3 linked regions of the Drosophila melanogaster genome follow. The gene in region 1 interacts genetically with each later gene. Each region holds a gene or a part of one and is shown in the gene's direction. Other genes may lie near its edges.

Region 1 (9,441 bases):
TATGGTTTACTTTTAGTTAGTTAGTAAAAAGAATACAAGTTCTTCGTCCTTTTTTCGGGCGCTCACGTCAGCCGAGGTATTTTTATGATGGAATTTTTAATGAATTTACTTTTAGCTGGGTGTCACGGAGCATCTGCCTGCGCTTGCATAGTAGTCCTTGTGACTCCTGTCTGAAAGACAGAATATTCACAATTTTCTAAGGATTCATATTAAAATCACGCAGAGACAGGCTGTGAGGTTTCATACTTCGCTGCACACAAACGAAAGAGGTGTAAACTTGTTTATCAAACCCCACTTTTGTTGGAAAATATCGTTCGGGGTTGGTTTTCCATCCGAGCAGATTGAATGCGACAAGTCAAGTGATGTGAATTTAATTTGCATTGCCATCAAAATTGGATTACAAACGAAGAAATGCGAACAAATGTTATTGAAAGCTCAAAGAGGAATTCCAACAAATCAAATTGTGTGATGACATTTTTTGTGGTATTCTACAAAGGTGGTATACAAGTGAATTATTTCGAGTGTTTGCGAGTATAGTTTGCATTTGTGAGTGGGCTAGCATAAGAAAATATTTGTGATGCCAAACTTAATTCCATTGTTTGCTAAAATTGTACAAAAGCATTTATTTCATGCTTTAAAAATATATAAAATTATTAAAATGATTATTCTTATTGTACAGCCTGATTTATATTAAGTCCCACTTATTTTGTTACCACTACGAATTTCGACTACACCAAAGACCAACAAGTTATTAAATATACCAAGGAAATGATTATTTTCTAGCTGCATTTAGGCCATCAAAGTTTCCCTGAACTACCCAACGTACTGAAGTATGCCCGCAAACACGCATTGATTAAAATCGCTGCAGTTAAAACTTATGCTCAAGTTCAAAATTAGTCGAAAGCTAATTAACGATAAGCTCGGCTTGCCAAAGTGCAGTGCAGAAGTTTTCGCCTGGGCTCGGAAAAGTTTTTAATGCATTTATCGAGTGACTTTGGTCTCTAGCTAAGTGCTTATTATCGGGCATCTATTTCAATTTCCCCCTGGCAATTACGAGGCAGTCGAAACTACACATTGTAGTTGTCGGGAAAAACTACGTATTTTCCAGCCGCCCAAGACCTCTGACATTTTGAAACACCCACAACACACCGTGTGACCTTTAACCCAGGGCAGTTCAAAGGCAACTGCCATCGACTGCTCATTTTTAGTTTGGTTTTGCGCCAGGGAAATGGGAAAATTCACTCACCAGAGAGAGCGAGAAAAACTGCAAAAGAGAGAGAGAGAGAGAGAGAGTGCGCAATCAAGTGGGAGAAAATTTCCCTTTTTGAGTCCAAGTCTCTCCGAGAAGAACCGGTTTTCGAGTGGGTTTTCGAATGACATTGGAGTGAGTTCGGGTGCAGTGCATTTGTTCCACTTTCTGAGCAGGATATTTTTGGCACGTTTTTGTGTCGTCGGAGCCTTTTGTGCATTGAGTTTTTGCCACACTGCCGGCTTATGGTCAGCATGAGCAGAAATGAAGCGTGCTGTGGGTCGAATCCCCTTCCTGATTTTTTGTTGTTTTGTACCCCATTTTAGCCTTTTTGGAAGCAACAGCAACTGCTGGCAGCAGGAAGCATTGCGGTATCCTGACGCTCGAGGGACTCATAATGGTCGAGATTTTGAGTTCTGGTTACAGTTTGGGCTCTGGGCTACTTTAAAGCCAGTGAAAACTGGGTTAGTTTAAGATGGCTAAAAGCTAGACGTCACATAATTTCCATAAATTCTTCATGGCCCAAACAAAACTTTTAGCTGGCCATAATTCTTCGTTTGATTTGGCGCAAACTTCGCGCTCAGGCTTATCAAATGCCTCAGAACCCCTTTTTGCCTTTCATTAAAATCAGCACAGACTGAAACTTTGCCACAAAGCAATTTGCTGGAAAAACACAAGACCGAAAAGCGTTGGAAAAACTTTAAACAACGAACGTGACCGAGGTGAAGTTTTCCCTTCTTAACAGCGTTTTTTTCTCTGGTTTTCGTACGGAAAATATAGTTTTTGGTCAAACTAGGTCAGCTGGAGAGCAAAAAATAAGGCAGGGAGAAGGCGAAAGGACGTCAAACATTTAAAAACATAAAAGACATGCCAGAAATTGCATGCTTCTTTAAGCAAGGACTTGACTTGATTTCTTGAGTGCCTCGCCCACGACTCACTCAAGAGCGAGTGAATCGAGAAAATGAGTGAGTGGAATGGCAAATTTCCCGCATGGCATGGCATTCTCAGCGACCCGATGTAGGTATTATGCTCTGCCAGCTAGCAGTCAGTCAACTTATAGCCGCTCCAGCGAACGGACGCACCGAAAATCGAGCTATAGAAACTCTACGGCAAATAAAAAACCCGAAATCGAACCCATGACTTATATATAGAGCCAAACGATTTGTTTACGTGTCGTGACGCGAGTGTGCCAGCAGTTGTGTGCGTGTGCCAGACGCAAGCAGAAAATAAAGTTTACAAATTAAAATAAATCAAAGGCAATCACCATGATTAGCACCACGGATTATCCAACAGTGGAGACCACCACAACTGCCGAAGAGCTCTATGCGGAGTACATATCCGCGCCGGCCAGCAGCATGAGTCCCGCTGCAATTGCCGAGCACCTGCAGCAGAATCAGATCACCTTCGAGATACCCAGTGCCCACGATCTGCGACACATCGACGCCCTCAACTCCTTCAACGCCCTGCTCCAGAGGATTGGCAACGCAGCGGTGTCCTACGATCCCGCTCCACCCAGCGGCTGGTCTCCGGATGGCAGCATCAGCACCGAGCAGCTCTCCAAGTCGGTGGTTCTGGATCTGGCCGACTTGCGGGATAGGTCCGAGGAATCGGGCGAATCCTCGTGGTGGAGCCAGATCTTCGGGGATGCCGACATGCATGTGATCATCAATTATCTGTGGATCGGAGTGGTCAGCTCGCTGGTCATTCTGTCGCTGGTCTTCATCCTCTTCAGCTGCTACTTCTACAGGAAGTTCCGCACTTGGAAAAAATGCAGTAAGTTTCAGTCGGACAGCCACCCAAATATAATCCCCACTCATTTTCCGCCCCCAAAATGCCATACATCTGGCTTTTATGTGCTCGACTTTAATCAAAATGTTTCGCCAAAGCCTTATCTCCGGCCATTTATTCAGCTGGCTAAACAATATAAAATGCAGAAACAGAAAGAGCAACCGAAACAGGTCCCACCACCACCCATCGGTTCCATCAGCTTGGGAGCTTTGCTCCATAGAGCTCCTATGGCCGCAAAGCCTCATAAATTTTTTGGCGCGCTTCGAAATTGTCAGCCAGCCGTTTGCATCGTTCTGTTGTAATTTTAGATACACAAGTTTATTATGCCACAAAATATATGTGCCGCATATTTATAATATTAAATTGACTCGCCTCGGAGGCATTGTGCCCCTTTTATGATAGCGATAATGTACGAGCTGGAGAATATGGACGACCTCGTCGACCCTTCTCCCTCGAAAAATTGGAATTGTTGCCCCGAAATTTGTTTTGCAGGCGAAAGGCGTGAAATTGTGCCTTGATATTTATATATTTTGTTTTGGGGGCCGAGGCGGTAAAGAGTAATATAATAAAATAATGATGGACCATATCACTCAGCTGCGTAGCTAAAGTCTGAGGAAATGTGGCCTTTGTAAGTGGGCGAGATTGTAAAATATTTATTTTGTTTGATATTAGTTTAGGACCTAGAAACATTAAAAATTGAATTTCATATTTTTCTGACATCTCTCACACTTTTAGTTCAGCTCTGGCAGTCCAGTATTAAATCCAAAATCAATCAAGTTTGACACAACTGTTATCAAAATCCCACCTAAATCCGACCCAGATTACCAACACTCAACCCAAATAGAGCCCATGTAAATATATATCTTATCTGCTCGAAACCTGTTGATCCCAATCCCAAAAATAAATCATATGTTTAGGCACTTTACACATAATTACGGAGCACCACAACAAAGAACCCAACTCATACTAAACCAAACAGAACTGAACAGAACCTAAATGGAATTGTATTGGAGGGGCTGGCTAAACAACCTACACAACTAACAAGACTCCGACTCAAGTGTCAAACTTTTTGCAGACCAATTTAGCCAAATGATTTATTTAGGCCGGGCAGCAAGTGAAGGACTACGGCCAGGAGCAAACTTTCGTCCTGTTCCTGGGACTGTGAGCACAACTTCTTGGGCCAAAGGGCCGTGGCCTTAAAGCCTGGCCAACTCAACTGTCAAACTGTCAATTTTGTGCTAACGAGCCTTAAAAACTTTGCCCTGCGATTACGACACGCGACCAAGAAGGGTGGATCCGGAAAGCTCCATTTATATATATATATATATATACGTGAAATATCAATTTGAGCGATATGTGTTGCCTGCTTTCGGCCGTCCAATGCGTCTAATTAGTTTCGTTAGTGTCGTGTTCTGTGCTTCTATTTTTTTTTTGTGTGCTCTTCCCTGGTCCTATGGCCCAGATAGATAGCAAGTGGTTGGTGGGATAGGTTGCCCGGGATACTGGGATACTGGGATACGAGAAGTACGTGTGTCATTTATAATTAAGCAACTAGGCCGGAGTTCACTTCGGCTTTTGTGCATTTAATGCCAGCTACGTGGCGTCTCGCAGTGTTTACCTTATAAATGCTTAACGAGGCCCAAACACAAGAGTGTCTGGCCCAGTTGCCATTCAGCCAGCCAGGCAGCCAGGCTTACACCTTATTTATTAAACTGTCACACACACTGGCGATGGCAAACTTTCGGTCCTTTGGCTTTGGCTTGTTATCAATTAGTGCAGCGGAGGACTACGACTGAATTTATTAACAGACCAGATGAAGTTACTAAATTAAAGCCAAAGCCAAGCCGAGGAGCAACAGCCACTGTTTATCATGTTGTATAGGTCCTGCATAATTTAGTTGCGTAAAAATGTAATTAAGCGTAGCATATTTGCCCAAGACCAGAAAAAGTTGCTCTTAGCCCGGCAGTCCTTTTAAATTTTTAATGGTTTTCGTAGCGAGCAGCGCAGAAAAACTAGAAGCTGCTCTCTTTTTCGGCCATGGAAAATATTTTAGTTGCTTTGGTAGTTTTTTACCCCCATTTTGGCAAACTCAAATTGAGTGCTGTAATTAACCAAATTGTTTTGTAGCCGACCAGCACTTAGTGGTATGGGAAAGGCATACATAATAGAGCTGGCAAAAGTTTTAATGGCTGAGACTGCATCTTTTGTGTGGGAAAAATGGAAACACTCGAAATCGAATACCCATTTCAATGGGCGGCTTAATAACAATTGAAAGCAGCTTAAATACAATGATCATAATTCTTAAATAAAAAACTCCACTCAGATCGAATAAAGCCAGAAAAGTTGGGGCGTTTAAAAAATTAACAGACATTTATGGCAACACAAAATAAAGCAGCTCACTGCTTTCCATTTGCCAGTTTCCATTCGAGAGTGCCAGCTTATTGCGATGAATTTAAATTGTTGCATACATTTGGGCGCATCGACAACAGAAATGGGGAAAAAAGACAGGATACAAATGCAAAAATAAAGAGAAAGAAGGCAAAGTGCCAATGCAGCTGAAAAACAAAAGGCATCAACGAATGGCGTTAATTTTTTTTTGCCAACCGCACAGAGAGCGAAATAAAAACTAAATTTTGTATCTAAATATTTGTTCCGTTAGTGATATTTTATTTTCCTCAAAATAACATCACTAACTGGTTTGCATAATAGAAAGTGAATAAAAAAAAGACATTTGATATCACCATAGGACTTCTAGTTAGTAATATAAATTTTCTGCGTGCATCGGCCACCTTTTTCCCGATTTTCCGACTTTCTTTGCGTCCATCTGCAATGCTTGAAGCGGCTGAGTTGGTGGATGGGGAGGGGGGGGTACACCTTTTTCAGGGGCGGCTGTTTGTTCAACACTTGCATAAAATATGAAGCCTGCAGTCTGTGTATGAGTGGGCCACGCCCCCTTAGTCCAGGGCCCCGTTTGCCGGCTGTCTATCAAACAGAGAGCAAGGAAAAAAGCACGGAAACAAAAGTCGAAAAAGGGAAAACAAAGAGACAGAGTCCTCATGTAGGGTGTTCTGGCCGAAAAAAAGGATTTATATATGTGTGTGTGTGTGTTACAGTTATAACAATAAATCAACAACTGCTGGCAGCCACTGTAACTGCTGACTGGTTCTGCTACCGCTGCGTTTTAATATTGTAATGCGCAAATTTTTCAACAGGCTTTACCCCATGCCACAAAAACCGAAATACCGACCACCTTTCCTTCCTGCGAGATGCGCTTTAATTGAAAAAGCGTTTTCGGGAACAGAGAATTTATGAAAAATACAGCCTGAACAATTAAAAAATTGCCGAGTTTTTCCACAGCGAGGCGGCAACCAAATTAAATGACACAAAAAATGGACAGAGGCGATCCCCTATTTATTTATTGAATGCAGTTTAAATTGCATTTAATAATACTGAATACCTGCCACTTTTTGCAATGCCACATATGCTGGGCCGAAATTCTATTTGAGGCAAATTATTGCTTCATGCATTTTTAATCTGCTGTAACTCAAAATACAACCAAATTAAATTCTTTGATGGCCTCGGCTTAGAGCGCGTGTGCATGGAAATTGGAATTTTCCAATCTTAATTTAACTCTGCTTAATTTGAAACATGCACACACACACACACTCAAGCACACACACATGGACAGCAGCTGCGGCATTATAAAAATTAAATGCTTTCTGCTGCCTACTTTCCGGGGCTGTCGAGCTTTTATTTCATTGCAGTTGGCAGTTGGCGAACGTGTATGTGTGAGCCTGTGTGTCTGTGTGTATGCGAGAGAGTATTTTATTTCATTCCATTCTGCCACGCGCGCACTTCCGGCATATTATTGCCTAGTTGCTGTTGTTGCTTGGGTGGCAGTCAGTCCGCTGTGAAGGAACTTCGCCTGTCCTGCCATCCTCGCCGGCATTTCCGGTCAGCACAAAACTTTCCGCTTCCCCTTTTTTGCCATTTTTTTCGCCTTTTTTTTTGCCTCTGCATTCGGGAAAGTTCAAGCGTTTGCGCCTTTACGCTAAATTGAATTTAATGCCACGGGCCCGTCCTTCTACAAATGTCCTTTGACATGGACAAACAAAGTAATGACAGAGTCAAAACTTTGATGCCTGATTGGGAAGCACCCATTCCGCTATTCCTACACAGCAAGAAATGAAAAAAAATAGTATCATGAAATAAATTTTAAACAAAAACGAATTTTAATTTTAACTATTAGTTACGTGGAATATTGTTATATCTCAATGTTTAAAGAATCTTAATTTGTGCTTTCTGCATTGCTTGCCCCAAAAAGTCCCTTTTTTTTCTCTGTCCATCTAAACAATAGAAACTTTCTGGTGACAAACTCAACTAACAAACTCCGTCTTCTGTTTATTGCAGATAAGGACATACGTGCCCAGATCCATGCGGCCAGTGACTCGTACTCCTCGCACCTGGTTGGTTGCGATGCCAGCAGACTGCTGTTGCACCAGCAGATGCAGCATCCACATCATCGGAGCAGCGAGGCTGGGTTCTACCAAATCGAATCGCCGCCCTGCTACACAATCGCCACCGGATTGCCCAGCTACGATGAGGCACTGCATCATCAGCCTCGGCACTTTGCCTACGGCATGAAGTTCGTTTATCCCTCGTTGGCGGCCGTGCATCATCATCACCATTGCATTTCCAATTGGGAGAAGCAGGAGCCGCTGAATAAGCTGCAAAAGTGCAAGCTGTCAGCGGCAGCGGCAGTGGAGGAGGATAAAGCCGACTCCTCATCGTCCACGTCTGCATCCGCGTCGCCATCCTCTTCGGAATCCAGCAACTTGGCCACAGCAACGCCTGCCATTTGCATTAACATGCCAAGTGGGCGGCAGGATGAGGAGGTGGATAATTCAGATTCCGATTCCGCAATTGCAGTTGCAGTGGCAGTAGCACAAAGTTTACAGCCGGCGGCGCCTGCCGACGATGATTGCGCCTCATTGGTCGTTGTTGTTGCCGCGTGATTGCCCACCCAGGGGTCAGAGGTCAGGGAATAAGGGGTCAGTCGAGGGTTTAGGGCCGGGAGTAGCAGCCCAATTGCTTAGTCACTTGTAAATAGTTGCATCGTCTGCTAATGTTGTTTGCCCCATGTAATAACATATATCTCCGAGAATGTACCCTCTCCCTCCCTCTAAGAAAATTTAGTTTTGGTTTTTAGTTATCTGTTATATATTATTGTATTACGCAAGACTGAGTATTATTTATTGTACTATGTATAAAACCGAATTGTCTATCGATTAAGCCCTAATATCTAAGCGAGAGTTGAAGAAAAAATATAAAACTCGAATGAACACATTGCAAACTAAATTGAAATTTTCGTTTTCATTTCCTTATCAGTTTTTCAGTTGCGCCCAATGCCAAATAAAATCATATCCAATGCTAGGCGACTTCCACTCCCATTGTTGACCTTGCTGGCAGTGCACGAATCCTAATCTCTCAGATATCCGTACTTTGGGCAGAGCAAATATCAGATGCCGTTTGGGGTTTCGGATTTGGTTTTGTTCTGAAATTATGTACGTGACTTGGATGCGCCTGGTCGAGATTAGGTCAGCAGAAATGCAGTGCAGCTGGGGAATGCTCCACGAACGTGCACTGCTGAAAGGATTTTTCAGCATCCGTTTTAAGTGTTACTTAAGGATTTGGCCAAATAACGGATTAAGTCAGAAAAGTTTATAGAGAAAATAAAGCTGATTACACAAGCGCATGTCTTAAAAAATGGTCAGTTAATTAAATGATTGTGATCTTCTGGCATCAATATTTGTCTACGATTCATTTAAGATATCCATTGATATTTGATATCCCCGCTTTTTCCCTTGTAAAGATACAACTTCAATTTCCAACATAAAAAATGTTGTCCAACCTTAAGACATCATTGTTCAATAACTAACAAACACAGACAGTTTCTTAAAGTTGCAGTTACTACGATTAAATAGAAACATTAACTAGCGTAAAATCTAAAGCTAAAGCTCACAAAACAAACAACCGGAATAAATATTGTATACTATGGAAAGGAGAAAGGGAAGAAATTAATTATGCAAAAATATATATGAAAAGATATTATCAAACCAAAAAAAAAAAAAAAAGAGAACAAAATCTTGAAATTTTATTTGCCTGTCTGGGATGATTTCAGCTCCTCAGGCGATGAACCTAATTGGGTGTACAGAAGACCCAAGGAACCTAACGGCCAACAAAGCAGCACTAAAAACACGAGTTAAAGCTTCGTGCGAGCATAAATAATTTCATGTCAAATTTGACACTTTTGTTGAAGCTTCTGCGTCTTTAATGCTGCAATTTGTATTCAAATGTACGATTTGTTGATGAGTCCAAGCTGAAAGAGGCATGGACGTGGTGGA
Region 2 (6,788 bases), on another chromosome or scaffold:
AAAAGCTTTTGAAAGTGGCCCACGCAGGCGGCAAATAGCAATAGTTGAGAAATGAGATAAATAATGGCAAAAAATCCAAATTAAAGTGTAATAAAAAAAAGAGGTCTAACCACTTTTTATTTTTTTTTTTTTGCCTTCCACCAGCCGAACAGCTGAAAAAACACAAAACTGTCGACGAACCTTTTGGCCATTTGCAGCCGGTTTGCAGGGGCAGAACCAATTAAAAAATAAAACCAAAAATAATACAAAAATAGTAAAGAAAACTTTACAAATCAAAAGTAAGTAGGGGTAGCGCAGAGAAAATTAAGGAAAATCCGAACCAGTTGCAAAGCGCCAGCAGCTGATCCACCGGAAAAACTGAAAAGCGCGTCTACACAACCTGAGCAAAGGACCTGCAGCCGGGCACTGAAATTCCAGGAGCAGACCGCCTGCCACGGACGTCAACTTATGTAAAGCCGACTGCCGACTGCCGACTGCGAACTTCGGCCCACATCGCGCTGTTCACCGCCCGCCCTCCTCCACCATCGATTCACATTCACATTTTCCCATTTTCCGGCATTACTGCCGAAGTAAGTGCGTGCGAGCGAGACGCCAGCAATGCAATTTTGCGGGCCAAAGTCAGGCAGTTAACCAGCAGGCTGGTCCGCTTTTTCCTCCTCTGCTGCTCCTGCTGTTTCTTCTTCTTCTTCTGCCTGCTTCCTGCTGCCTGTGGCTGGCACATCTGTGTGTGTGTGTGTGTGGCGCCTGCGCACTGAGCGCACAGCTGACGGCGGTAGGGACCAGGACCGAAGTCCTTCAACATCGGGGAGGGGCAAAAAGCTAATCTCGGAAGTTTCAAGTAAGGTATCATAAAAAATCAAGCTCTTTAGCGTTTTTGGACTTTTACTATTTTGTTTTATTCATCTTCTGGTTAAGAGAATATTCTGCTATAAGAACTTTCAAAAAATTTAAAAACAATGCAAACTATAAGATATTCAACCACAATTGTATAAGCCACGTGATTTTAACAATCACATAATGCCTAGACACACAAGTAACCAAACTTGAGGTTGACAAACTTTCAGCCACCTTATGTAACGTGTTGCTCCCCGAGATTTTGACCGCCCAAGCGTGAACCGTCCCTGTAGTCAGAGGTTTAACCTCTGTTGCTAGGCGCCCGACGCAGTCCCTCCACTGCCGACGCCGGCAGAGCTGCGCCGACTGCCGAGCCAGCTGATTTTTGTGGCAGAGCCGAGGTGCCGTGGAATGGGGATTTTCCCGAAAAGTAACGGCTCTTTCGGGAAAAACCGTTTTCCGTATTGATTTCGGGGGGCGCTGCATGTGAGCTTCCCATAAACCAAATATGCATTCTAAAACGCCCGATGAAAGGAGTAGTTAGCTGCAGTTGGAACGAAGGAGTGGGGAGGGGAATCGAATGAAAAGAAGAAGAAAACAAGTTCTGGGCGCACAGTGGGGCAAGCTTAGAACTGTAGTGACCACTGTGCGGCAGCAGTTGAGCTTCTAGTTTGCAGTAAACGCTTCGGTCTCTCTCTCTCTCTCTCTCGCTCACGCAGGAAACCTGTTTTCGAGAATCGTTTTTTATAGCTTTTGCCACTTGCCACCAGACCAGGCCAAAATAAAAAAAAAATAAACAAAAAGTATTTCACAAGTTTTGTTTGCTTGCTTCTTTGCTGTTTGTGTTGTTGTGGTTGTTGCTGCGCTTGCTAGTTGTTTCGCTTCTGTTTATCATTTACTGTTGTTGCCACCGTTTGGCGTTTACCTTTTGCACAATCTTCGTTTACATGAAAGCGGCGACGACACGCGACCAAAGGCACACACACATTCGCACCTACACCCACACACGGACGGGGAACGCGGACAGACACACGGATACGTGAACGCAGACACGAGGTAACGGTAACGGACAGAGAAAGCGAGCACGTCCACCCGCAGCAACACTCGATGAGCATCTGACGAAGTGTTGCCAGGTGACACAACTCAGAGCGTCTTAACGAGTTTATCACTAAAAAATCCGAGCATGTTAATAATGAGCGCGCGATTCAAAATGGTTGTATTTTAACGTATACTCAAATTATCACAGTAAGCGATAGGCAAATTTAAATCAGTAGATAACCATAGCAAATGGCCCTATCCAGCTTATTAGCATAGCAACAAAACAAGCTTCTGATGTAAACAGCTTATTTGTTAAATATATCAAATTTCTAATAGTTTTCATTATAAATCTAAAATATCAAATGTGGCAACACTGGTTCCATATGATAAAGGTTGCCACCAGGCGTAAAAATATTTTCGTTGAAGTGGACGAGGGCTGCAAAATAAAGTAATTTTGGCGCCTTTTTTGAATTTAAGTGTTCAAAAAAAAATTTATGTAAATGAACGAAGAAGTACACAAGCTCACAAAACAAAATGATTTTAATTTTAATTCAATTAAACAAATTCTCTTTAGAGTTTAAAATATTATTTTGCAATAGCTTAATTTAAATAACATAAATAACATTTGTATTTGCTGTATACCTTATGCGTAAGTATCAATAATGTTTAAATATGTTTAATTAGCTGAAAAGTAAGTGCTGTTGCCTAAATAAGTTTTATTTAATGAATCTAACTATTATTAATATACTATAGTGAATACGATGAGTCATTGTATCATCTCTCGTCAATATCAGTATTAACGCACACGAAAACTAACGCATTAGAAAGATTATCTCTTTTTATGATACTGGTCACTCTAAGACTGAAGTACATTTGTATATGTGGTGAGAAATCGGGTAGTTTAAAAAAAACCACCAAGCGAGTTGGACGCGTAACTCTTTGTAACGGATCTCGGAACGCCGTGGGAGTCGGAAAATCGCTGGACGCGTGTTCGTGCGTTTGCATGTGTGCGTGCGTTCGTGTGTGTGTGTGTGCTAATGTGCGAGCGGGTGAGCGAATAAAAATAAATATATATCGTCAAGTCAGGCTTAAGAAATGTGCGCTAATCAAAGAAAATGCCCCCAATTCTGGCCAATTGAGAATTGTGGCTAAACAAAAAATTCGACCGGAGTTCAAGTGAGTGCCAATTGCGGAGACAAAATGGCTGCATTTCAACGCATTTAATTTACTGGCAACACATAGCAAACGAGAGTGAGAGAGAGAAATGTAGAGAGGCAATCCGAGAAGCAACATAAAAGAGAGAGCATGAAAGAAGTACAAGACGAGGCACACGAAAATAAGTAAACATGCAAAAACATTGTTAAATTAGCCCTATTGCGAAGTTAAACTACACATAATACTATTCACGAAAACATTTTTCTGTTTAATTATTTTGAAACAGCATTGTAAACAAATCGATTTGTTGTTCTTTTGTGCCAGCAACAACAAGCGTTTTAAAAGCAACAATAATTAATTTAATGCATTTTGTTGCGTTTGCGCCGCAGCTGTCGCTCTCTCCTTTTCCGTCTTCCGTCGCTCTTTGTCGTCTCTGTTGCATCTCCCTCTCTTGCTCTCCTCTCCGCGCTTGCTCATTGCCTCTGTGTGAGTGCAAAGGCCAATAGCTGTTTTTGTTGTGATTTTATGTTTGTTTGTATTGCTAATGTTTTGGTTTTCCAACTATTCATAAACTTATTAAACAAGAAAAAACGCATACCGAACTTATGAATATAGCGTAAATAGTAAAAAACATAATTATAAAAAAAACAATAAAACAAATAAAATTGCCTATTTTTATATTTAAATAGTATATTTTTAATAATATTAAATCAATCAAAATGTCTCGCTCTTCTGCCTTCAGAAATAAACAATCCAGTGAATAAACACACAAAATCAATCAAAAAAGAAGATTTTTCTTTTTTATTTTCGCTTTTAATTTATTAACGAGAAAATATTGGAATAAAACAAAAATAAAAATATAAGAAAAGTGTACGTGACAAGAGCTCGAAAAGAAGTTGCAACAAATAGCAAAAATAATTCGTGCGTGCGAAAAAGTGCTGCGAAGTTTTATGGCCCATGCAAAAAGTGCTAAATTTGTAAATGGCATGGAAAGTGCAAAGCTCTGATTAAAAAACCCGCGAAGATTGGAGTGCGAGGTGCCGCCCAATAACGCAACCAACTACTGCCACAAGGAAATTATTAAGACCAATCAACGACCTTCGCGGAAATAAAAAAAATAAAAAATAAAACAAAAGCAAGCAGAAATTTGGTGCTAGTTCTGTTTAGTCGACAGCCATCCACGTTGGATCCCCATCGCAAATAATGTCATCAAAATGTGCTTTCAACATTGTATTCGTATCGATCATTTTCATCATCATCGTAAATGGTAAGTTCGAAAAACTAACATTGATTAACAATGTAATCTAAATGGTTTCCGTTCCTATTTCATATAATTTTTTAAATATTTTAATTTAAAAATACATAAAGCATTGGTGTTTTTTTTCTGCACTTGACTCACTGGCAACCGAAGAAACCACAACAATCGGGGCTTAAAATGAAATACAGCCGAGGGTGCTGCAAATGACGCATAGACAATAACATTGGAATAAGTGCTCAATCAGGCGGAAACAAAGTTAACATTTTCACCCAGAACCCTTCGAGCAACAAAAATAATTACGTACTTTGCCAGGATAATTGACGAGTGAAGGATATTAGGGGGAAGGGGAAGGGTATCGTTTTGAGGGTGGAACACAGAGGGTTTCTTATAATTTTAGTAGACACTTTGGGTAATTGTCTTTGGGTTTTCTCGCCTCCCTAACTATGCTGTGGGTGTATTTTGTTATTAAACAAATGGGGTTGCTTTGCATAATTAATTTAATTTCGCTATTGTCACTCCAAGCGAATTGACAGAATGATTTTCTTGTGACCCAGAGTGTTTGCTTTCAGCAATATTCTCACTTGCAGGTGCCAAGGTTTCAAACTCAACCGACTCTAATAACAATCTATATAGCCGTGAATGTACTTTTTTTACACTTAAGTTAGCTACTCATATATGTATGTATGTTCATGTAAATATACAAATTCAGATTCTACCTATTTATTTCCACAAAGCAAGTCCATTGTTGGGGCAAAAAGAGCGAAGAAGGCGAAAAGCATAAGGTATAACGTGAGTCATGAAAACCTGAGTAAAGCTCAGGGGACTCATCCATTTTTATTGTGAAATCGTTAGCTTGGGTTTAACAAAAGGGGACTTACAAAATTTTAAAACTATATACTTCGGTATGAAACACACAGTAGGAATGAAACATTTAGCTTATACATCTACATATATAAATATATATATCAGAGTTGTGCTACTTAATTTATGAATATATTGTGTTTTGTGATAAAAAAAATGTCGTTACTGCATTGAAGACCGTTTTTTCGCCACTTCAACTAATTTGTTTGCATGGCAAGATTTTCCTAAGTTCAACGTTACGAAATTCGAGGCGGGGCGAGGGATCATGACAACAACTTCCACTCTTGGCTAATTAGCCAAAGTCAAGCAACATGAACATGGGTAAAAGAGTGAGGATTGAGGGCCAAGAATCAAGCCAAGAAGAGTGGCGGAGGCAAAAACTGGTTTATCCACTTGGCCGGCTAATCTGACAACAAAGAAAGAGAGCAGACATAAGAACCGAGAACCCAGAAGCGAGGCGAATAGAAAAGGCCAGAGACAAACAAAAAATCTGCGAAAAAGGTCAATGTCTCGGCATTATCTGTCTGGGCTGCACAAACCATATTATAATGATTAAAAATGAAAAAATTATAAAAAAATATATATATATATATATGCAACAGCTATCGGAGAAGAGTTTTTCTCCCACAAATAAGCAGCGGAAGCGAAAGAAATATATAAACCAAAAATGCTGTGAAAAGCAACAGTTCTGAGATACAGTAACAAGATACAGCTGGGAATTAAGATAAAGATACTGTATCCGTATCTTAGTTTCAGCTTGAGATTGCGGCTACTTTTTACGTAACTTATCTGCAGTTTTTTGGTTTCGTTTTTTTTTTTTTTTTGATCTTGAAAGAGACAAAAAAAACTTGAAGATTCGCTGACGAGTGAAATGAGTTTCTAGAGTCACATCTGGGTTTTTCCGGATTTTATTATTGTTATTGATAAGCTGTTGACTAAAAGTTGTTTCAAATATAATTTCAGTCGGGCAAAAAGCTTTCATAAATCACATATAGGAGATGTGGGAGAGTTTAGGATGGGAGGAGAGTTTAGGATGATAGGGCCCAGAGAACAATGGACACTTTGCCCGGGCATTTATGCAATTTTCCTTTGCTTTATTTCCCGTACGTGCCGAGTGCAACATAGTAAACAAACAAATAATGAAGCCACCATCGAAATCTAGAGATGACAACGTGACCGTGGATGAAGAACTTCGTGCTGTTTCATAATATACTCGTACAAAGAAAATGACCCACAAAACTCGTGGGTTTATTTGGTGAATCCGACCCAGATGATAGACGCGTTTGTTCTGTATTTGCCGTCGTATCTGCCAGATACAAATGTATCTGTCATTGCAAAGTGTGTTACTATCACCAGGCGGCTGACATTTATTGTTTGCCGAGTGCCTCTGCCAAATAAATGAAATAAAATGTAATAAAAAAATGAAATGCATACATGTAGCATTTATATGCGAATGTATACATGCGGTGAATAAATCCCTTAAGCTTGTTGAATGACTGAAGCGCCTGGCACTTCAAATTGATGAGTAGCTTTAATGAAAGGGCGTGACTCGATGTAAATTGCCCTCTTCTAGGGCGCTGCACATGCAGGGAAATGTAAATGGCTTTTCCGAGGGTGAAAGCATTGGTTGAATCGACACAAA
Region 3 (6,863 bases), on another chromosome or scaffold:
TTCCTCGTCATCCTCGCCGGGTATAACACCTACTCCTGCCGCTCCTTCCCTGACTTCGGTAGGCTGCAAAGTTTCCTGTTGAATTTCGGGATTTTCATCTTGAGATGGCGTGGAACTTTCTGCCTGGCAACCATTCAAATTTAGGGTTTGTGGTCGCTGGGGGCGCTGCTCTTGGGTTTCCAGGGCATCCGTTGCCAGGCTGGCATCTTCATGCTCTCGATCGACCTCCACTTCGCCATCTAGTTTCCTGCCCGAAAGGGAATCCGATTCCGTGCTGCTGAAACTGGAGGCTACATCTTCTCCCATCGCGGTAACTGGTGTGGACTCCGGCTGCTTCAGATCAGCAAACTCCACAGTGGAGGCCTGCGAAAAGTTGTCCACGTTCATCTGATCGTTCGAGGTTGTCTCCTGCTCATCGGATAGAATCCGCACCGACTCCTCCTCGGTCACTGGCGAGGCGGAGCAGGATTTCTCATCGTCGGGCATTTGCTGATCGTCCGCCTGGTTGTCATCTGCATCCATCTCTTGCAGCATGCTGTCCAGTTCGGTGTCCGAGATCTCGTCCATGGTGGAGCAGAAGGTCAACGGTTGACTACGCCTGGGATGCTGCTCCTGTGGCAGCTCCACATCCTCTTCTTCCGTTTGTACTGGCTGCTCCATCTCTTTAGGGACCGGTACTTCCGCAACAGATGCTGGCTGAAAATGTAACACCATTATTAATAAACTATACTATATGTCAAGATAGTTTATAACCTTAATTGATTTATGAAGCTGATAATATTTTTAAACTAATGCGCTACACTTATTAGTCATTTACACAAACAAAGTAAGGTAATAGTACTTACTAAATTGGCCAATGGGACATCTATGCCGTTGGTCATTTCGGTTTCGGGTTCTCTACTGGGCGACGATTCCTCCGAGAGCTCCTCGAGGACCTGCCCGAGAACAGACGATGCGGTGACCTCCTCCGGCAATAGGGATTGCGATTCTGTGCCGGACGCAGTGATGGAGATGGATGACAATCCAACTGCTAACTCCTCTACAGTTTGTTTGGATTGCGTTGGCGGTGGAACAGCCTGATCTTGGTGCTGGTCCTCATGCTTGACCTGTTCCGGCTGTTGATCCTGTTCCTTTGGCTCCACCTGAACTTCACTCGTTTTCTCATCTTCGGGGGGCGTTGCTAGCTCCTCCGAGTGACTGCCATTGCTCACGGGCGACGGACCCGACGAGAAGGTGGAACAGGATGAGGTGGTCAGCGATTCGGAGGACGATACTATCGTCTGGCCGTTATTTTTGGACGCCTGTTCGCTGAACTTGTGGATGTCGTCTTCGTGTTCCGCCTCCGTTTGCCAGTCGTAGCTGGGTAATTGGGCATCCACCTGCAAGGACTTCACATTTTCCCTGTAGTCATCCAGGCTGTTGAAAACCTGAGAGACGCCCACAAAGGACTTTCCAGACGCCGGTGTTGGTGTTACTCCCGCAGCTCCCGATACTCCGGCGCCAGCTCCAACTCCACTGATCGATGCACTTGCTCCGTCGCCCAGAAAACGGCCAGGATTTGCACCTGCAGCTGCTGCTGCCGCTGCATTTCTACTCAGCTGCTCATCGGCGGCAATGCTCAGTTCCAGATTGTCCAAAACCTGATCAATGTCCACCAAGTCCATGGCCACCAAATCCGCAGAAACCTTAAATAAAATTGAACCAACCAGGTTTATCTGCTTGCATTTTCACAAAAACGCAAAAGAGAAAAAACAACACAAAAAGATGTGGAGAAAAAACGGTCTTGTGATTCATACCTTTTTCACACCTCGAATATAGTCATAACAAGGCAATGAGGAAAACAAGGACGTATTCGCCTTTAATAAGCAATATTAAGCACCTGCAATCACCTTATTTACTTTGTTTTCTTCTCGCTAATTTATTAACAAAAACTCGGTGACGAAAAACATTGTAAGAAACTGCCTAAAAATAGCCATGGAAACAGTGTTGCAAAGACAAAAAAAATTAAGTCAAATTAGCACCTTTCTCATTTAGTATTTTATGATGCTATCTCGTTCTATCTTTCTCTATAATCTGTTACTGTTACAATGTTAACATAAACCGTAACACCTTTTCAAATTTGAAAATAATAATAGGTAAAAGCTGTCGGGTCCTACACGAATATGAATGCTTCAATTGTTCAATATTAATGCGTATGAATTCAAACAAATCTATTAACATTGGGTCTGGGAAATTTTAGCCGCCAGTCTGTGTTTTTAAAAAAATGTTGGGTTGTACAACTGAACTAACAGTATCACAGAATAACAGTGAACGTACGAGCAACCGAAACAGTGTAAATCAGTGTAACCGCAGCTTAGCTCAAGAAAAATACTATAAGCATTTAAATATGAAATCTTGCCGATTTAAATGAATTCAAAATGTTAATTATATTTGATTGAATTATTATTTGCCTATCAAACATTTAATAATTCTATAATAATATCTTAAGCAAATCATGTAAACAAACAGTAACATAAGAATAAAACCAAAAAAATTCAAGATGTTAAAGTAACATTTTTAATCGCGAAATTGTAACAGAAATATATAAATTTTAAATGAGTACGCGTTTCGGAGTGTCTATTTAAGTCATCACCCAGCTAAGCATAAGAATTGGTATTTTTTAGGAAATGCACAGCTTGGATAATTGAGTCGTTTCTGCATCTGGTAACATTGGCCAAGTCATTCGAAAAAATTTTACGGAGCGAAGAAGGCACGGTTACGTCCGGATTTTAGCGCGATTTCGTGTCTGTTGTTTGGTCGGCACTCGAGTGTAAAGAAATTTGTACATCCCCGAAAAGAATCGCGAGTGCAATTTTGTAAATACGGAGAGGAAAAGGTGCGCAAAATAGCAAAAATAAATGCAACGAAAATAAACGCAGCAAAACAACGGGCAGAAAGATACGAAAAGAAGAGGCAGGCGAAGCAGAGGAGAAAAGAGACACATAAAGAAGCCGCCATAGCGGCGTTAGTGGGAAAGAGAGGGCGCGAGAGGAGACGGAGAGCGAATACGAATGCGTATGGTGTAGTTGTAGTGGTGGGCGGTCGTGTTTTTTTTCGTTGAAAAATCTCTGGATTCAAAGGGAAAAACAGAAAAACAAAAGGAAAATACAGTGTATTATACGAAAAATTTGTTAAATTTTATGTTTTTAAAATTATAAATTACAAAAATCGAATTCGATTAAAACACCCACACACACACCAATACACACAGTAGTTGCGCTGTTGTCTCCTCTTTATTTTTGTGTTTTTCTCTCTGCGTAAACGTTTTGTTTATTACCCCCGCTCTTCTACTTCCTTTCTTTGATTTTAGCCGCGCGCGCATACGATAAATTGTTGTTAATTTTACAGTGTGTAATGCTTAATTAATACCCTGTCTCTCCAACCAACGCTATCTCTTTTGTTTTGCAATTCGATTGATAACACATCGGGAATAGTGTGTGTCTGGAAAATAAATAATCATAATAATCATAGTTTCATGTGTGTATTTAAACAGCGTTCTTCTAGTGTGAAACCAGTTTAAAAAGCTGCAAGAAATATATATAGCTCAATATATATATTTATATATGTGTGCCGCCGCCAGTTCTAATCTTTAAATCAATAAACAAAACTGGAAGCCATTAGCTGAAATCACAACAACAGCAACCGCAGAAGAAACCAACGGGGAAAATGAAGCCAAAGCAGAAGATTTCCGTAGAGCCGCTATTGCTAGTCGCAATTCTCATCGGAGTTCTGGTAGCCGCCACCCACGCTCAAGATCAGGTAAGATCTCAAAAATTACACCCGAAACTACCAAATGTTATTAGTTTACGTTGAGATAAGCCAAAATCAATGGCCAACTTCAAGTTTACCTGGCCAACCGAAATTTAGCCGACTTTGTGATAATATTAATGTGGCTTTAATGGCCATTGAATGCTTATTCATATTAATACGTCACACAGCTTGATTAATTACGAATGGGTCATTATTAGACATTGCTATCCTTTTGTAACGACATACACATGCCCACCAGTTTGGGCACAAAGTGGAGCATTTAAGTGGCCCCTTTCAAAAGCATAGTTGCGTAAGCCCATTGCTGCTTGTAACTGCTTACCAATTAAATCGAGGCAGATTCAATCAGCAATCCGAACTCCCAATTTTCGCCACCTTGAGAGGGTTCGGAACTCCAAGTTCGGTTCGATTTCTTGTTCACTTCAGTTGTTTTTGCGGTTTGCGGTTGTCCAATGCTGTTTCTGTTGTTCTTGTTGTTCTTGTTGTTGCACTTATCATGCAAAATTCGGCAGCCCCAAGGTGGATACATGTGTCATATACCCATGTACCATGTGGCAGAGGCTTGACGGGCAACGGGCATGGGCATGGTCAATCTCCAAGGCATTGCACTGAATGCAATTTGTGGCTGCAGATAATGAAGAGGAAAGGCCTCCATGTCCCGATGAATGTAAGCCGTAAGCTTCTGGCTCCATTGCTCCACTCCTTGGCTTCTTGTAGAAAAGACATTAAAAACGTCTGCATTGCGAACGCATAAATATGGCAGTGAACTAGACGCACAGACATCGGCACTGTGCAATATATATATATAGATAGTTATACATAGATATAGATATCGATATAGAGGACGAGGCGGCTGCTGGTCAAATAAGGCTGCAAATCCGAAATGGTCATCGACTCCAACGCATCGCATCCAGCCATCCATCGATGTTGTCGACTGTTACCCATTAGCGATGAGAGATGAGTGCCGCCACAGAAACAGATATGCCGCCACGTTCATATGGGGAATGCTACTCGGAGATATAGAGATGATTCAATTTCCGACGAATTCCTTTCTATTCGTCTCTCGTGCTTTCTTTAATCACCTGCTCTGCCCAATGAGATCATTTGGTGTCTGAATGTGCTGTTTTGAAAATTGTTTACAGATTCGAAACTGGCCTCTTTGGTGTTTTCCACTCATCACACAGTATTTTTGTCATTAATTGAGTAGTTTAATTTAGATTTACCGATTGTAAACTCTGCTTTTAAAGGGTGTTAACTTAGCAAAACCGGTTAAATTAATGGGCAAGTTGTGTAAATTGCTTAAAACAATTGCCAAGTTGACATTTATGTATTAGTGAAGGCAAAAGTTGGATTTAAACTGCATAATTTCACTTAAATTCTAAAAACTAATTTGAAGACTTGAGTTGGATTACTTATCAGCTTTTCTTGTTATCTAGCGCAATTACTCACATTAAGATTTATTGGCTGATAATAAAACCAGCTAATGAATCAGGCCGCAAGCCCAAAGGGCAATATTAATGTCTCCTTCTTATCTTCACCAAGTATTTTATGTAATTTAGCACATTTATTACATTCCGTGCTTTCTTGTTAGTTAATTATCCGAAATTAGAAGTTCTATTGAGATACGGTAAAAATTTAACAGCCAGTTTTCTTCATTTTCCGCAAAGAGTTTACAGTTGCATTTTCCACAGCTCATCACTGGAAAGCACTTCTTGATTTGGGCCTGGGTTCTGGGCCAGTTTTTGATACAACTTCTGCTACTGGTCACGATGATCTTTGGCATCGTCTGTTGCCAACAAAAGCATCCGGCTATTGCCAATTTCGATGGCTGTGTTTGCCTCTTTCACTGCCTGTTTGTTTGTTTGTTTGTTCGCTTGCCTGTTGGTTTGTTTGCCTTTATTGGTGTGTGACTTATTGGCCCGAAAAATTTCTACACACACTACTTGCACATAAATAGTGCGATGGCCTTTTACCCCTTCGCAAACGCCCGCCCGCCCCTCTCACCCATCTAAAGCAGTCTGTAATCTTGTTTTTGCCGTTCCTTCCATCTTGTGTCCTGTTTTTGGTGTTTGTCACTTGTTTTTGCCAAAATTGGCATTCGTGGTTATGCCCCCCTCCTCGGCTCCTTCGTAGCTCCTTTCCCTGTCGTCGAAAACATTTTGAGAACGTGCCCGGAAAATTGATGAGCAGCACGGCGAGAGATGGCTATAACTTCACCGGAAAGAGGGTGCAAGTTTAATGGTTGTGACTGCTGCAAGTGCCACACTATCTATTTTCCGTTGCTAGCTGTTGCCTCATTTACAAAGTTGGCATAAATCCATTATCTATGGCCATATCCTAATGTCCCTTAATACGAGCGTAAAAACATTTTAATTTTTTTTTTTTAAACATTTTAATATAACAATTAGGATATAAAGGTAGTAGCATTTTTTTGAATGTAACTGTAATTAAGTGTGGAAGTTAGTAAGGGATAACACTCGGTTGCATCCTCTCACCTCAAAGGTGTGGAAACCCAATGTACCACGCCTCCTTTTGCATTGCTCCCTCCCGTTTTCCGCATCCCTACCAACTGCCTGCTGTTTGTGTTTATTTTCCTTTCTTGGAATACCGATTCACATTGCCAGACGGCGACAGACAGCGATAAGGTTCTGCCGATATTGGGTTTTCCATTCGATCGATTCTGTGGATCTGGCTACCTAAACAACAAACACTTCCTTGAACTGGGTAATCAAATTCCGATTTTTGTCCGCTGTAGATGGTGAAGGAAATTTGAATAAAAGATTTTTTTAAGGTTTTATTTGAGTTGCAGATTTGATCGTTGCTCTGAATCCAAGTTGAATCATTAAAGTTGCTGAAACGCAAAGATTCTTTATTTGCATATTTCTTTAAATTGTTTATCCTTAAATATTTACATTTTTATTTCTTAGATTATATAATCTTTTAAAATCTATATTATTATTTGGCTTTGATTCTTGCTTAGAAGCCCATCCCACAATTTTATTCAAATTACGATTTATTTTCCGTACACATACCAGTTTACTTCTCCTCCACTCATT

What was found.
Region 2: of comm (region 1) and kuz, changing one suppresses a phenotype caused by changing the other (phenotypic suppression), as found in Drosophila melanogaster (one study listed by BioGRID).
Region 3: of comm (region 1) and Sdc, changing one suppresses a phenotype caused by changing the other (phenotypic suppression), as found in Drosophila melanogaster (one study listed by BioGRID).

The regions. Positions count from the first base shown.
Region 1 is NT_037436.4:15,721,278-15,730,718, reverse strand, and holds comm (commissureless), read left to right. Parts: upstream 1-2,288; 5' UTR 2,289-2,514; coding exon 2,515-3,022; intron 3,023-7,447; coding exon 7,448-8,052; 3' UTR 8,053-9,208; downstream 9,209-9,441. UniProt on the Drosophila melanogaster protein: Controls axon guidance across the CNS midline by preventing the delivery of Robo to the growth cone.
Region 2 is NT_033779.5:13,547,373-13,554,160, forward strand, and holds the start of kuz (kuzbanian), read left to right. Parts: upstream 1-2,766; 5' UTR 2,767-2,921; exon of another isoform or gene 2,922-3,048; intron 3,049-3,769; 5' UTR 3,770-4,230; coding exon 4,231-4,294; intron 4,295-6,788.
Region 3 is NT_033778.4:21,477,026-21,483,888, reverse strand, and holds the start of Sdc (syndecan), read left to right. Parts: upstream 1-2,712; 5' UTR 2,713-2,875; intron 2,876-3,510; exon of another isoform or gene 3,511-3,532; 5' UTR 3,533-3,705; coding exon 3,706-3,798; intron 3,799-6,863. Other genes in the region: Sara (smad anchor for receptor activation), read right to left, coding at 1-696, 846-1,664. UniProt on the Drosophila melanogaster protein: Cell surface proteoglycan that bears heparan sulfate. Required for axonal and myotube guidance, is a necessary component of slit/robo signaling and is required in the slit target cells.